Oreochromis niloticus: one gene and its partner. The protein of the gene in region 2 interacts with the protein of the main gene of each other region in a pairwise test. Links are inferred from orthologs where the notes say so. Each region holds a gene or a part of one and is shown on either strand. Other genes may lie near its edges.

What was found. The genes of interacting proteins can lie anywhere in the genome.
Region 1: the proteins of wdr6 (region 2) and g2e3 interact in a two-hybrid assay, tested with the Homo sapiens proteins (2 studies listed by BioGRID and IntAct). The two-hybrid records come from large-scale screens. The link is inferred for Oreochromis niloticus from reciprocal best matches to the Homo sapiens genes WDR6 and G2E3.

Annotation. Positions count from the first base shown.
Region 1 is NC_031983.2:3,798,900-3,806,412, reverse strand, and holds the start of g2e3 (G2/M phase-specific E3 ubiquitin-protein ligase), read left to right. Parts: upstream 1-4,504; 5' UTR 4,505-4,681; intron 4,682-6,272; 5' UTR 6,273-6,288; coding exon 6,289-6,346; intron 6,347-6,680; coding exon 6,681-6,778; intron 6,779-7,205; coding exon 7,206-7,307; intron 7,308-7,513. Other genes in the region: ehd4 (EH domain-containing protein 4), read right to left, coding at 1,161-1,390. UniProt on the Homo sapiens protein: E3 ubiquitin-protein ligase which accepts ubiquitin from an E2 ubiquitin-conjugating enzyme in the form of a thioester and then directly transfers the ubiquitin to targeted substrates. Essential in early embryonic development to prevent apoptotic death.
Region 2 is NC_031984.2:25,360,236-25,367,931, forward strand, and holds the start of wdr6 (tRNA (34-2'-O)-methyltransferase regulator WDR6), read right to left. Parts: upstream 3,021-7,696; 5' UTR 2,870-3,020; intron 2,862-2,869; exon of another isoform or gene 2,671-2,861; intron 2,593-2,670; 5' UTR 2,511-2,592; coding exon 2,441-2,510; intron 2,166-2,440; coding exon 2,031-2,165; intron 1,739-2,030; coding exon 1-1,738. Other genes in the region: uncharacterized protein fsbp, read left to right, coding at 3,527-3,731, 5,759-5,802, 5,927-6,095. UniProt on the Homo sapiens protein: Together with methyltransferase FTSJ1, methylates the 2'-O-ribose of nucleotides at position 34 of the tRNA anticodon loop of substrate tRNAs. Required for the correct positioning of the substrate tRNA for methylation.

The DNA.
Region 1 (7,513 bases), on a different chromosome or scaffold from region 2:
AAGTTTAGCCAGAAAACTGAAAATATATTATTAAGGTTTATGCAACAGGACAATACTACTGTCAGTTTACCCATAAAGAAAAGAACTCCATACTTTTAATCTGGCCCTTACATATTATTTCTTTTGCAGCTAAATTATTTATTAGCAATTGTCCAATATTGAAGGAGGAACCTAAAACTGGCAGGGATCCTGAACTGTTCCAGTTAACTTTTACCTTATTCCATGTTTTTAAAAAAAATTCTACATCTAATTTTGAAAGTTAATTCTCAGGGTGACTTTGTCTCCCCCCCCCCCCCCCCCCCCCCCCCCCCGCCAAGAGGTACACTTTGTTTTCTGTTCCTGTTGGTTATATGTGGTTTTTGGTTTGTTTGGTGATTATTTTTGTACCCTGATGACCTTTAAAAGCAGACTGTATTTTTGGTTCTGTTCCTGATATGATGTCACCCCTGTGGCATCGACTTACGTAGCGATTATGTTTACTTTGGCGTATCGCACTTAACTGAGGTGGTCATGTCATTTTTTTTTCTCTGTTTCTGAAATAGTGGAACAGAATAATTTAAACTTTGATTCATTATCTAATAGATTCAAAGGGTTGGCTGTGTTTTCCTTGTGTGTTTGTCCACTCTGACTCTGATGAAGGCACAGTAGTGTTGAAATCTCACTCTGTTTGCATAAGTCACGACTGTGAATTTAACTTGTTTGCTTCCTGTCATTCATAATGCCACAGCTCACTCCCAATAAGAAAGGATAGTAAAAGTCACTTCGGCACAAATTTGGGATCCCCACGGTGTTTGTCTTTCAATTGTATTTCAAGTTGAGTTGCTGATGTCACTGAATCTTGGGGGGGGGCATAATTAGGAATTTCTGTTTCCTAGAATAAAGACTTGCTTTGCGGGATGCTATACCAGCCGATTTCCCCACAAGGCTTCCGGGATTTCTTTGACACGTTATAGTGTCCTGTAACACTTCTCTAATCTTATCTGAAATTAAACGCGTCTTCAATTGTGACATTTTAACATGATCTGGCACGAGGTCCCACCAAATAACATTCAAGTGATGCAACAAAAATAGAGGTGGGCTTTTTTCCCTACATCTAGTACAATTCCCTGCCCTTTCAGCCTCTCCACAGACAAGAATACTAGTCAGTTGTTGGTCAGTACCTGATGAAGGTGGTTTTCCCAGTGGAGTACTGGCCGACCAGCAGTACCATGGGTTTACTCTGGAAGTCAGCAGCCTCTAGGGCCGGGGAGTGGAAGTCATGGAAGAGGTAGGTCTCTTCCAGCGGCAGCAGCTTCTTGGTGTAGAGAGTCTGCAGTCCCTCCGTAACGGTCTGGTACATCTCTCCTTCTTTGTTGCTGCCACCCTGCTCCTGTTTGACCCAGCTGAACATGCTTTCTGCTGTGTTCTGTATCCAACTTCCTTGTTTCGATGTTTCCAAATATTGCGGCTGTTTTCGCCTCCTTCTCTGTGAGCTCCGTCCTTAGCCTGAGCGGAGGGAACTGTGTGTGTCTGGCTCCACGGAATCTCTGCTACTCTCAGCACTGTGCCTCCTCTGTGTGCTGCTCTGGGCGTGTGTTGGTGATGTGGAGGGTGCTGATGTGCTTACCTGGGGGCACCGCCCTTCCCCCGTGACGACACAGACTCTCTCTCACACACACACACGCATAACGCACATACGGGGACGTTTCAAGAATGTTCTGACAGGGTATCACAGAAGCCTCCGCAACAGCACAGGAGTGCTTTCGCCACATCTAGCGACAAATCTGAATATTTGCTCACAAACAAATCCTGTGGAGACATTAAACACATGGATAGTTTTTTAGGCCCTCATACAGATGTATGACATGAAAGTAAGTAAAAACTAACTGTAGCCTAATTAAGCCACGGATGGAATAGTACGGAAGGTTTAACTTGAACTAAAAGTGCTCATTATGCAGACTCATATAAATGAGAGTAGCGATTAGATCATAATACTGATTCATTAATGTTTCTATTCCTTTAATAAAGCAACAGGAGATGGTTCTAGTTACTTTAGGCTTAATCTGTAATAATGCAGTAACATATATTAGTATAAGTATAATGATAAGTAACTAAAGCCAACATACAGTAACTTCAATCAAACTATTTTAAAGTAGAAAGCCGAAAAGTAGAAACACTCAAAGGACAGTAATCAAGTAAATATACTAAGTTACTTTCCACCACTAAACTGTCCTTTAGTGGTGGAAAGTAACTTAGGACAGCGAAGAAAGTGAGACAGGTGCAACAATATATGTTAAATAGTGCCATGAAAAAATATTTGCCTACTTCTTGATTTGTTAGTTTGTTTTTTTTTTAAATATTTATCACATTTAAATGTTTCAGATCATGAAATACTACTACTACTATTAATAATAATGGTAATAAACACAGATAAACTGTGTAAATACAGTTTTTAAATGATAATGTGAAAATAGAGCTGCATGTTGTTATAGGGAGGTGCTGTCCTGTAGCACCCACTGTTACTAAAAAACAAATGCAGCGTGTGTGTTCTATAAGGATTAAATTGCTGGAAGTTAAAATAGTCAAGGGCCAAAACAGAAATTGTCATTTTAAACATATTTATTTTTTTGGCTGATCCTGGTATTGTATAATTTAAAAGGGTGTACACCTTCCCTTTCAGTGGATCATGCAGTAGCAAAATGAGACCAAGCACAGTAGCAAATCTAAAAAGAAAAAAATATCATGGTGTTGCAACCAGCCAGTGAAAGTCCAGACATCAGCCTGACTGAAATACTGTAGTGAGTTATTAAGAGAGCTATTCATAAAGGAATATCTGTAAACATCAATGAATTGAAGTAACATTTTTTTAAAGAAGAGTTGACTAAAATTCCCCCACAGTGATGTGGGAGAAAATTGGACAAAAAAATCTTCGTCCTTCAAGTGACTTATTACTGGCATAGGTGGTTCCTCAAGCTACTGAATCTTATTGACTTACTTACTTGCTTTTTCACAAACTGTTTCTGCATATTTGCTTAGTGTTTATTAATAAATAACAACACTGTGTATTATGTCATGTTTTGTAGTTTCAGTTTCAGTTTTCAGTTTTATTTGTCATATGCAAGTTAGCACAGGGTCAACATTGCAATGAAATGTATTTGACGAGCAGAAGACAGTCACTCAGCAGAATGGTACAGTAGAAAAAATAGTAAAGGGCAAAATATTAATCTTTTTTCTTTTACTATATTTTATTAACAGTTAACAGACTAAATATATATATGTATATATAAATATATGCACAAACTAGTGATTAAATAAAGAAAATCTTAAATAGGATTGTGAGGGGGGGGGGGGGGGGGGGTGGCAAATGGGATATTGCACAGTGGCAGGAATGAGCAGCAGTACAGACTGAACAGTACAAAAATTTTTTGGCAGTTAGTACAGTATTGCACTTTTTTTTCCCCCTAATATAAATACCAATAAAGTGGAGTGACCAGTGCAGATTGTACAGTGTACTTGTGCAGCTGCAGGGTAGCTTCTGAGTGCATCCTGTGGAGTGCGTTGTGTGTGTTTAAGTGTTGTGGTTGAGGTGTCGTATGGCTTGATGTTAGAAACTGTTTTTAAGACTTGTAGTCCGAGCAGACAGACTCCTGTAACGTCTGCCAGATGGTAACAAGGAGAAGAGCTTATGTGCTGAGTGGCTGTGGTCTTTGATGATGCTGTGTGCTGTGCGGAGGCATCGTTGAAGATAAATGTCCTGACTGGTCGTTTCCGGTAGTCCACTATCATTTCTCTAGTTTTGCTGATGTTGAGAGACAGGTTATTTTCCAGACACCACTTGTACAGTGCCATCACCTCCTCTCTATAGGCCGTCTCATCGTTGTCTGTGATGTGGTTGTGTCATCCGCAAACATGATGATGATGTTGGACTCATGTTTAGCAACACAGTCGGCTAAGCACACAACCCTGTGGCGTTCCTGTGTTTAGAATGAGTGATGAGGAGGTGTGCTTACCAACTCTCACCACCTGGGGCCTGTTTGTGAGGAAGTTTGGAATCCATCTGCAGATTTGTGTTCCTAGCCCAAGGTCAACAAGCTTCGTGGCAAGTTTTGAGGGGAAGATGGTGTTAAATGCCGAGCTGTAGTCAATGAAGAGGTTGTATTTACCTAATTTTAAGACCTGCTAAAAACCATATTATTATTAATATTGTTATTATTCAAAAGTCCAAATGATGAGATCCTGTGTCAAAGTCATAACTTTTAACTCAAGTTAATTTTGAAATACCAAGTGTGTATCATGATTACCAAAGTTACATTTTAGTAAAATTCTTATAACTTTACCTACCTTAAAAATGTAGTTTGTGTATATATTATGGAGACACTGTTTTTAATCCAGATTTATTTCCTTCACATATCTTAGTTTTTCGCCATCTGTTGAGATGTTTAATATTATTGAAAGCATTATCAACACCAACCATCAGGGGGCGCACGTGTAGGCAAATGAAAGCCTAGTGCGAAAAAGCCTCTAAAGCAAACGAAGAAGAGGCGGAAGCGGAAATCAGATTCTTTTGTTTTGAAAGAGGGAAATTTAAAAACTCGACGGCTCCACGGCGTTAGTCGGAAATAAACAAAAGCATTTGGAGTAAGCCTTCAAAAAACGACAGGAAAATGGACGCAAACTAACACTCGTCACCCCTGAATGTAAAGTAAGTCACCGGAGAAACATTTTGTAGTGTTTAGGTTGCGTTTGAAACCGAGCTTTTCTTTGATGTCAACGTCTCAGCTGAACTGAGACAGCTCAGCAGAATGTGTTCAAACTCCTATTTTCTTTCTTAGTTTGTCTTTCGTAATGCACTTAGTAATGCACTTAATGTATTTTTCCGACTAAATGTTTACAGATAGGAGTATAATGGAGTAGCTATAACGCAATGTTAGGCATCGTGGAACATTTGGTCAGTTACTGTCATAACTGACTGTAGGTCTGTCGATCTTAACATAGCGGAAGCTTTTAGAGCTGCCACAGAAAATAATTCCACTGTTTTTATTGTTTTTATAGTTTCTATAATATTATAATTAAATACTAATTTTAGTTGTATTTAAGGAAATATCAAAAGAAGAATCCTTCCAGACATAAAGATTAACTTTTTATTATTGTTGTTATTTATTTTTATTTAGCTGATATTATTATCTGTGTTTTTTGTTGTTTTCGGTGTGTGTGTAACAAAACACAATGAGACATCACTGTAAGACTTTCAGGCTCGATTAACCTTATGAGAGGCCGTCAGTGACTTCCAGTATTTAACCCTGTTTCTAATAAAGTGAGACTTCTTTGTAAAATGTAAATAAAATCAAAAGAAAATATTATTTTTGCTAAAAAAAAAATATGCTTGTTCAATTCAATTTGTATTTTAACCGTATGTTTAAAAAAAAAGAAGAAGCTTCAAACAGGCTGAATAAAAAATGAAAAATGCAGATTAATCTGAAAGGCTGACTAAATAATTTAAGAGCAGTGTTTCTGCCTAAATAATTGCCTGGAGGTGATACCAGGATGGTTGCTGAAGTGAAATGGATAAAACAGTCCTTTTGCCCGACTAATAAAAACGTGATGTATTTCTTGGAAATGTAGGAGCAGCTGTAGGCATGTCCTCCCAGGTAATAAAGAAAGAGCACGAAAGCACCTGAAAGGAGGCTTGTTTGTTTTTTAAACTATTACATCCGTAAAGGCACCATGAATGCTAAAGGATACATTACGTTAAAATAAATATTGTTGTCTCTTCAGTTCTCAGACATTCTACATGTATTTTATTGTTAAAGTTTACACTGAAGGGGAGTTTTTTTTTTTAACTTTCTACTGTTATTTGTTTAATTAAAAAATATATTTTTGTGATGAGTCAAATTGTTCTTGTTATATAATGTCATTTTTGTAATTTCATAATGAATTTGCTTGAAATGTATGCATATATGCAAGTGGTGCGGGACTTACTATTAGAGCTCAAACAAATTTGAGCTCTAAATTTTATGTTGAACTTTAGCTTCACTTTCAGTTTAATGACCGGACAGTCACAGGTATTTGGGGCTAGAATATGTCTGTAAATTCATTCCAAACCATTTTTACGAGAAAACGAGTAACAATGGGAAAGCTTGGGAGTTTATCATCAACCTGAATTCTTTTCAGGGAAGTCAAATATGGTCAGCTGTTCAATAACCCGCTGCGTTATGTAGTGAGCATGTAGTCAGCATGTTGTGATGACAGTGTTTGTAAAAGCTCAGTAAATGTGGTCTTTCATTTTCTTGCAGGTTGATTCACACAAACATGAAGAAGAAGGCAAGGAGGTCGCAGGAGACGCACACAAACAGTGTCCAGGAGGAGTGTGAGTGACTTTCACACACAGTTGGAAGTCAATATGTGCTGCTGCTGTTTTTTAGTTGACTAATGTGTATTTGAACCACCTTTTGACTACTAATTCCAACCACTGTGTGTTGTGTGTTAGGCTTGACTTTTCAGCTCTGTTGTGTTGGCGCTGTGGTTTTAGATGTAGTGCTCTTACTGTTAAAAAAAAAAAAATCACCAACTAAAGCTATATCTTCACATTTCTCACTTACATACGTTAAAACCTTAATGAGCATTAATGATGATGTCTTTTAGGGCCTTGAGAAAGCATTTTCAGTTGAATGAAAGTTTGCATATTTTGTGTGTATCTGCAGGCTGTGCTCTGTGTAGGTGCAGTGATGATGACCCAGCCATGTTTGGGGAGAAAGTCACACTCAAAGAACATAAAATCTCTGTCCACTACTTCTGCTTGGTAAGACAAAGCCTGCAAGTATTTCTGTTTTCACAGGAATATGTCTTTTTCAGGCTTCAAGCGGTCATACTTTATTGAGACTTGCTTTACAAGTGCCTGACCAACAGTTATAGCATTAAAAATATTCTTTCTGAAAGACTTGTACAAACCAAGACACAATCGAATATAAAAATAAATAAATAAAACAAGCAAACAAAGCAGGAAATGATTTATTCTATGACCTCATTATGATTTAAGTGAATTTATTTGGAGGTAAATATTAGAGGAGGGAGCATAGTCACCACAAAACAAGAGGGCTCATGGTTTGTATTTTTCTGTCCCACAAATAAAGTGACAATGACGTATTTTCTTATATTAAAAATGCTTTAAAAGGGTCTGTTTGTTAAGAGTGTGTCTTAATAATATTGTATGCATGTGTTTGTCTCAGCTAACGTCTTGTGGAGTTTATCAGCGAGGAGAGGAAGACGAAGGCATCTTTGGTTTCCTGGTGGAGGACATCAAACAGGAGGTCCGCCGGTCGACTCGACTGGTGAGCAGTTCAGTATTACAATATTACCTTGCATATACTAAGAGCTCTACAGTATCTTACAAAAGTGAATACACCCCTTACTTTTTGGAAATATTTTATTATATCTTTCCAAGGGATAACACTCTGATACAATGTAAAGTAATCAGTGTACAGCTTGTAGGACAGTGTAAATCATACTGGTCATTAGTAGTTCAACATGGCACTCA
Region 2 (7,696 bases):
CTGAAAACTCTAACACAGCCGTCCCTGCCAGTGCTGTAGAACAAGCCTTGGTACTCATACACTGAGGTTACACCTTGTTTCCCGTGCACCCCAAACAGACAGCTCAGAGGATGCAGCAACAGGTCATGCATCTCTTTGCTTTCTTCATTCTCCATCTTGCCTTTCCCCTCTGCCTCAGACCCGCTTTCCTCATTATCACCTTGTTTACCATCTGTCAGTAATTCTTCATTTGTGTCCTCACCATCTCCTTTTCTTTGCTTTGAGTTTTCTCTTTCCTGAAACAGAAGCAGGGATCCTCTCCTGTCTCCACACACCCAAAGCACCTCCCTTGACCTGCACTGGAGGCGCACTGCAGCTGTAAGCCAGCGCTTAGCGCACGAGGGGAGGAGGAAAGAAGGTAGAGCAGTGATGCTGAGAGCTAAAGAACAGGTTTCACTGAATTTTGTCTCTACACACCAGCGATAGACACGTCCTTCAGCACCTGAAGCTAACAAATACGCACACTCTTTTCCCTTGTGCCAAATAAGAGTATGGATCTTCCCTGATCCACATGTAAGCAGAATTCCAGACTGAGGATGAGACATGGGAAAGATCTGTAAGCACCCACTGAGGTTTCCCACAGCACACAAATCAACTTTGGTTGTCGACTCCTTCACAGTGATAGTTATCGTTTCCATCACACAGTAGGACTGGAACTCTGGAGTCCCATTCCACACTACTTCCCACTTCCCAACATTATACTGGTAAACTACTCCTTTGTCAGTGCAAACTACAGGCTTACACTGACTCCAGCTTGTACTGCCATCCTCTTCTCCTGCTAAGCAAACAACTTTAGGCAGGCCTTGACCAGGAAATTTCAGGTCAGTCAGTTTCTCTGTCACTGCCTCCTCCTCTAGACACACCTTCTTCTCATTGCCCTCCACTCGCCACAACCTTACCCCTCCATCCGCCCCTCCTGTAGCCACCCAGCTCGCTTCCTCTCCCTCACTGACTGCCAGTGCACGAACACCCCCTGCTCGGTGTCCCTTCAACGTGCGAACCACCTTCCCGCTTCCAGCCCAGTCCCAGACTAAACAGGTCCCATCTTCCCCAGCGCTGAAGATATTCCCTGATGAGAGATGGACTGAGAACACCCTGGCCTGATGTCCATATAGGATCCTTAAACAAACTGGGTTCAAGTCCCCACATTTCCCTTCAGGCCCACCTAAAGTGCCAACACCCCACACCCGTACACTGCGGTCATCAGAGGCTGAAGCTAAATATCCTTTCTCCTGGAGGTAAGAGATACTGAAGATGACCCCAGTGTGGCCCAGTAGACGCCTTTCAATTGGAGCCTTGTTTTCAGGATTGCTACTTTTGTCTCCTCCTCCGGGCTTCCAGAGAACCAGCTGATTGAACACAGTCCCTCCAACTATGACAGTATCCACCCAGGATTCATGAACCAGAAGAAGAGCAGAGTACAGCAAACAGCCCTCCAGACAGGTACGCTGCACCAGGGCATTTCCTTTTGCGACATCCAAGAGAAGAGCACTATTATGAGCAAGAGCCACACACAGCAGTGGCTGTTTGTCTTCAGAGAGCCAGCGGACATCCAGAGCCCAGTCCTGTAGCTCCATGAGGGGGCCCAGGACCTCCAGGCGAAGTTGCTCCCCATCCTCCACGCGGAACCTTACAAGCCTCACAGCTTTGCCTCCAAATACTGCAAGGTCACAGACATTTGGCTCTGTAGTGCTCAGTGCTGGTGAATAAGAGCAAAAAAATTATGTATATTAAAAATGTTTTAAAATTGAAAAATTAGAGCAAAAATAGCTAGAGGCTTTACGTGAATAAAAAGTTTAAATACGCAATAAATAATTGTTTATAATTTAACTTTTATCATTGCTGAGAATCCATTCTTGGTTCCAGACTTGCTTCTCTTTCACTTTCTTATCGCTTTGTAAATAATTTTCTCTATATATTAACATATACTAAAAACAATCAAACAAAAAAAGACAAAAAAACCCCCCCAAAAAGCATCAGCTCATACTAACCGGCACTCCGTGATGGCACAGCTTCCCACCTTCTGGGTCTTATTCCATGAATCCGGTAATGATGGAGAACGCTCAAAGAGGCACAGGCTTTAGGGCGAGGCTTGAGTCTGTACACCGACAAGACCGGACCCTCACCTGCCACAAAAGAAAAGTTGTGCGTGTTTGTCTGTGTTTGTATTGTGCAGTACTTAACAAAATTTGGAACTCTAAAGTTCAAGCCAACCATTACAGCAACCAGAGTTACAAAGAGAACGTGGCACAGATACAAAATGAAGAAGTTCTGAATAAGTTAAAGTTTAACAATAAAGAACTCGTAACAAAAATGCAGTTAATATAGAAGCACTGTGGATAAAGCACAGCAGTGCATCACAAGAATAACCACTTGCTTATCTTGTATGTTGAACACTAACCTTTAATTAGAAATGCATCCTGAAGGAACTCCAAAGCTGTAACTGGAGCAACCAGGGCCACCGTCTCCATCACTTAATGATTAACTGCGGTCACCAAAGGCACATGACAGGGATACGGTGGGATACAGACAGATGACCCGCTGTGGCGACCCCTAAAGAGAGCAGCCGAAAAAATAAGACCGTTATGAATGGAAGATATGCAGTTTTAACTTACAAATCACAAATCGTACTTTAAAGAATGCTGAGACTCCGGGTAGTGCAGTCTGCTGTTGTATTTACTAACGTCCAATGCTGAGTGAGCATTACCCTTATGATTAGCAAAACAAGCTAACAGAAGGAGTTCTTCTCGTCTTATTTGGAAAGGAATAAGATATCCAACGGCAGAAAACTTTAACAGGTAAACAATAATATCGCGGCGTGCCTACTTACACACGCTCCCAATGCAGGAAAGTGTTCAGAAACGTTATAAGATCATTATTAACGTCCACCAAAAGGCAGTCTGGTACCCATGTGTTTCTGTACAGACGTTCTTGCCGGGTTTCAACCAATCAAGCTGGACTACCGGCATTCTCAACGCTGATTGGCTAGTAGGAGGTTAATCGTATTTTTATTGGTGAACTCTGTGCACGTGAGGGACAGCCTTCTATGTTATGCTGCGTTTAAGGATGTTCGCTCAAACTCAGTCAGTAGCCCTAGTCGCAGGCATTTATCTTAAAATATCAGGATACCTACTAAGAAGTTTCAAAGCGCTTATACTTCCACTTCGTTATACAAAAAGCCATTATTATCATTTTAATTCCACAGCTGCACCTGTAGTGATGAGATTCAGGCACTCTGACTCTACTGCGTTGCCTACTTCAGTGGGATTTGGGGTACATAACTGGAAAGTCATGTTAATTATCTCAGCGTTTAAATTATAACGTTTTCACGATATTTTGTAACCTAATGCCAAAAGATTCGTGCGCCACAGCGTAATTGTGTCTTCAAATCCTCGGAGAACACGTGAACGCATCACGAGGCAGTATATAATGTAAGAGGTTGCTCCAGGCTGGGAGGTAGCGGTCCAGCTAACTTTTAGAGCTAACTATGCCTGGCAAATGTAAATTCCAAGATTCCTGGCTCGCAAAGGATGTTTACAAGGACTGGCTGGTTAAGGACGTCCAGGACATTCATTTTGCCCGATGCAGGGCCTGTTGCAAATCAATCAAACTTCAGACGATGGGCGAGGCTGCTCTTACCAGCCACGCAGGGGGAGCTGGCCACAAAGCAGCGGTCCGCAAGCTGCTGGAAGGTGGGTCACTTCCAGTTTTTCAGACTGGAGAACATTTTGAAAGGAATGACAGAATTCACGAGATCTTTGTGTGATAACTGCTTCATCGCTGTTTGTTCAGATGGTTTAATCGTGATGTGGTGTTATCGTTGGTGTGTGTGCGTTTGGCTACACCAGTCTAGACAGGAGTGTAAAAACATCTGTCCCAGGACGAGCGGTCATCAGGACATCACCGAGCACAGCTGTACAGTTTATGCAATTTCAGAGTTGCTTTAAATGGTGTCTGTTATGTCTTTGATTTAAGGTTTTATATCCCGTGTCATTATAGCCTAAAAACAACAGCAAGGACCAGCAGCCAGCATCCAGAGTCCGCTGAAGTAATAAGACTTCCTCCTGGGATAGCAACTATGTTTCCATTATTATTAAATTATGGATCATTAATACATTTTTAGAATACAATGAATATAAGGTGCATTAGTTTGGTCTACTGCGTAGCTCAAGGGGTTAAGCAATGGATTTAATTAAGATAATTTAAAGGTTTATGTTTGTTTTTCCGGGTTTCTTTTTCTTTTAAAGCTCTTTAGCATTATAGATTTTTTTTTAATTAAATGAAAAATTATTATTATTGTTGTTGTTATGTCTTTGATGTAACCTGAGAGCACAGGCATGAAAACTTGAACTGTGTTTAACATTGAGAGGTGGGAATCATCAGACACACCACGATATGATATTATTGGGATTTTTCATATTTTCCAATATGATGTTAGCCTTCATGTTCTATAGGAATATAACTAAATTACAACCAGGCAGCAGCCTGTTGATTCAAGTCCCCTCGAGTCATGCTCACTGATACAGACTCATTCAGACTGATGGTCACATGTTGGTGATCTGTCTGCCTTCACAAATTAGACAACAGTTATTTTGCAAACCTTCAGATTCGACAGTCAGTCTGAGAGTGATTGCAGTCGGTCCAAGTCAGACTGCGACTTTTTGCAGAAAGGTTGCCTCCTGTTATTCAACCTGTGAAAAGTAATTTTTTTTGTGTGTGTGTGTGTGTGTGTGTGTGTGTGTGTGTGTAGATTTAAGAAGGTTGTTGTCCTATTTTTACTCATGTGACTGAGCCATGAGCTTGCTTTGAATTAGGAGGTAGCTTTGTCAAGAAAAGTGTGTTGGATGGTTTTGGGGTCAGAGTTGATTTCGTGTAAGTTTGCTCTGCTAACGTTGTCTCTGCATGGTGATACATGAGATCAGCCCTCTCATTCGTAGTATTCCCAGAGTACAGCTCTATGTATCAGCTACTTGTACTCTGGTCCTAAAGAACAGGAAGGCTGTTGAGCACAGATGTAGTAATTACATGTGAACTTCTTTCTGTGTATACAGCAGCACATATATGATTTTCAGTTAATTGCTGCTTTTTTTTTAGAAGCACGTTGCATGTAACTGCAACATTATTTGCAGTTGAAAACGGTGATAAATCACAATATGTTATTGCAATATTCAGAATTATGAGTAAAATGTTAAATCACAATAATATCAAGTCACAAGTGAAGTATTGTAATAATATTGTATCACTCTGTTTACAGAGCGATTAAAAGGACTGTGCTCATTTTATGACTGTCCCGCTTTTTCATGATACTGATCATCTACACCAAGAAATGGTCAGTTAACCCAACAGTTACTAAAAGTGTCTTACAGTATAATGAAGTCAGCCTGGGAGTTGGTTGAATAACCCCTGTTTTTAATGTTAAAGTGGATGCGTTTTAGATTTTTCACTTGATTCCATTTAGTGAACTCTACCTGGCAACAGTTTACTGACAGCACTTACTTTGTGGACTTTTATTTTCTAGGTTTGCTTTGCAGACGCTCTGATATAATTTCTGCTTTTATTGATGGGCATCATGATTGTGTAAGGTGCTTTGTGATGATGTTGTGCTTGTGTCCACCAGAGGGAGGCGCTCTTTGTTCATTTTTCTGATAGACCTATACCTGCAGTCCCTCCCTGTTTTTTCTCATTATCCTTTTTTTTCTTTTTTTTTTCTTATTATCAGGCAGTTTGATGATCACAGGACAGGTGAATGGCAGCGTGAATCAGGTAATTACTTTTAAAGTTTTGGTTTCATTTTATTTAAGAGGTAAACCTGGAGCTGCTCGTGACACCTTAGATTCAGACAGAAACATTAATCCTAGAAACACCAAATGGCTCGCCTCCTTCTTAGGCAGAGGACAGCAAGGAGCAAGTGGCCATCTGCCTCCAGCGTGACGCCTTGGACAGAATAACAGGCAACGACTGGTCAGATCTGCACCACAGCCCCTCTACAAACTCAGCCTCCCACAATGCAGAGCTACAGGATGTGGCATTCCCTGCTGCCTACTTCACAGCACCAGGTACCAACAAATAACACCCCGCAAGCTGCTTGAGCATGTGTTGCTTGGAAACCCTTGAGCAGGGAACTTTCTGTGGGCAAATAGTGGGATATTCTACTATTAACTTGATTAATACTCCACTCTTAATTAAGAAACAATAACCTTGAGCTGAAGGAGATAATTGGCTCAGTTAACATTACTAAGGGTGAGGAGGAAAGGGCGTAATTATACACAGACTTCAATAAGTTACAGCTGTTTTGCTGCAGAGATGGCTTTAGTGTTGAATGCTCATTAGAAGATTGTGAATGGGAAGAAGCAGCCCATGTGACCAACCTAAATAAATTACTGTCATTAAGAAGATTGATAGCCCAATTAATAGAGTTCAAGGAATAGTCTCCAAAATAGCAGGGGTATGCTGTTTGGAGTGCCTGTTTACAGTGTGTACCATGGTGTTACACACTCACTGTGCATCATAAATATGAGACTAAATAGCTGTTTAGTTCATTCCTCTGCTTTTCCTCTAATTTATCTCCGAGGCTCCCATTTGTGGCTGAAATTGAATGTTTTGACAACCTACAGTACTGTGCAAAAATCTTGAGCCACTCATCATTTCTTTATATTTTTTGAGGAGAATGGGAAATATGTGCAGCGATTTATTAAAATACGCAAACCTAAATGTAATATTTGAGGCAAAAAGTAGAGTACATACAGTTGTGACGAGCTTGAAAGTCATTGTTTGGTGTGACCAAACACAGCCTGAACTCTCATAGGCGAGCTAGTCTTCAGGAATAGTTCTCCAGGTTATGTTTTCCTATCCAGCTATGTTTTCACTGTTTGTGTGTGTGTTTCATGCTGACAGTCTTTCCTGTTGGTATTGCGTGTAGTACAGTACTTTTCTGCATTCATAATTTCATAAATAGAGGCAAAAGTGATCGGGATGGATCCAGAAAAAGCATTCAGGTCAGTAAATTAGAATTTTTCTTTACAGAGTTCTAAATAGATTTTCATTCGATGATACAGTTATTGAATTTACCCAGATACTGTATGACAATCTCACACATGGATATTTAAATCATCAGCTTACACCTGTGGCTGTACTGCAAACGCATGTTCAAGTCTGTTTTCATTTACCCACTTTATTAAGACACTTTTCTAATTAATTCATAGCATTTCCCATCTAAGCCCTGTGACACATATTATATCGAACACAAACTATAACTTGCTGTATTTATTTAGTTTAGCTTTCTTTACCTGTGACAAGGTATACCTTTGGTGAGCCAACTCGGGCTTTTTGAGTCTAATAGTAAGCACAGCTGTGCCTGCATCAGATCGCAAAGCGGCTCGCAAGAAGGAAAAACTTTTATCCTAAATAAATCTGAGGATTTTCAAAATATAGTCCAGGCTAAAACTGTGTAAGACAATAGCTTTATCAGCTTTGCTGTTCTGGCATTAAGGCACAGGTAGATCTGACTGGAATGAAGTTGTTTTGTTTTTTAAAATTAAAACTGCAGCTCCAGGTGTTAAACAGCCTTGAAAGCAAGAAAAGTGAATCTAAAGTTGCCTTGCAAACCTCAGATTGTGCTTTGTAGTACAGACCACAGTGAAGTTTTTTAACTTTGACC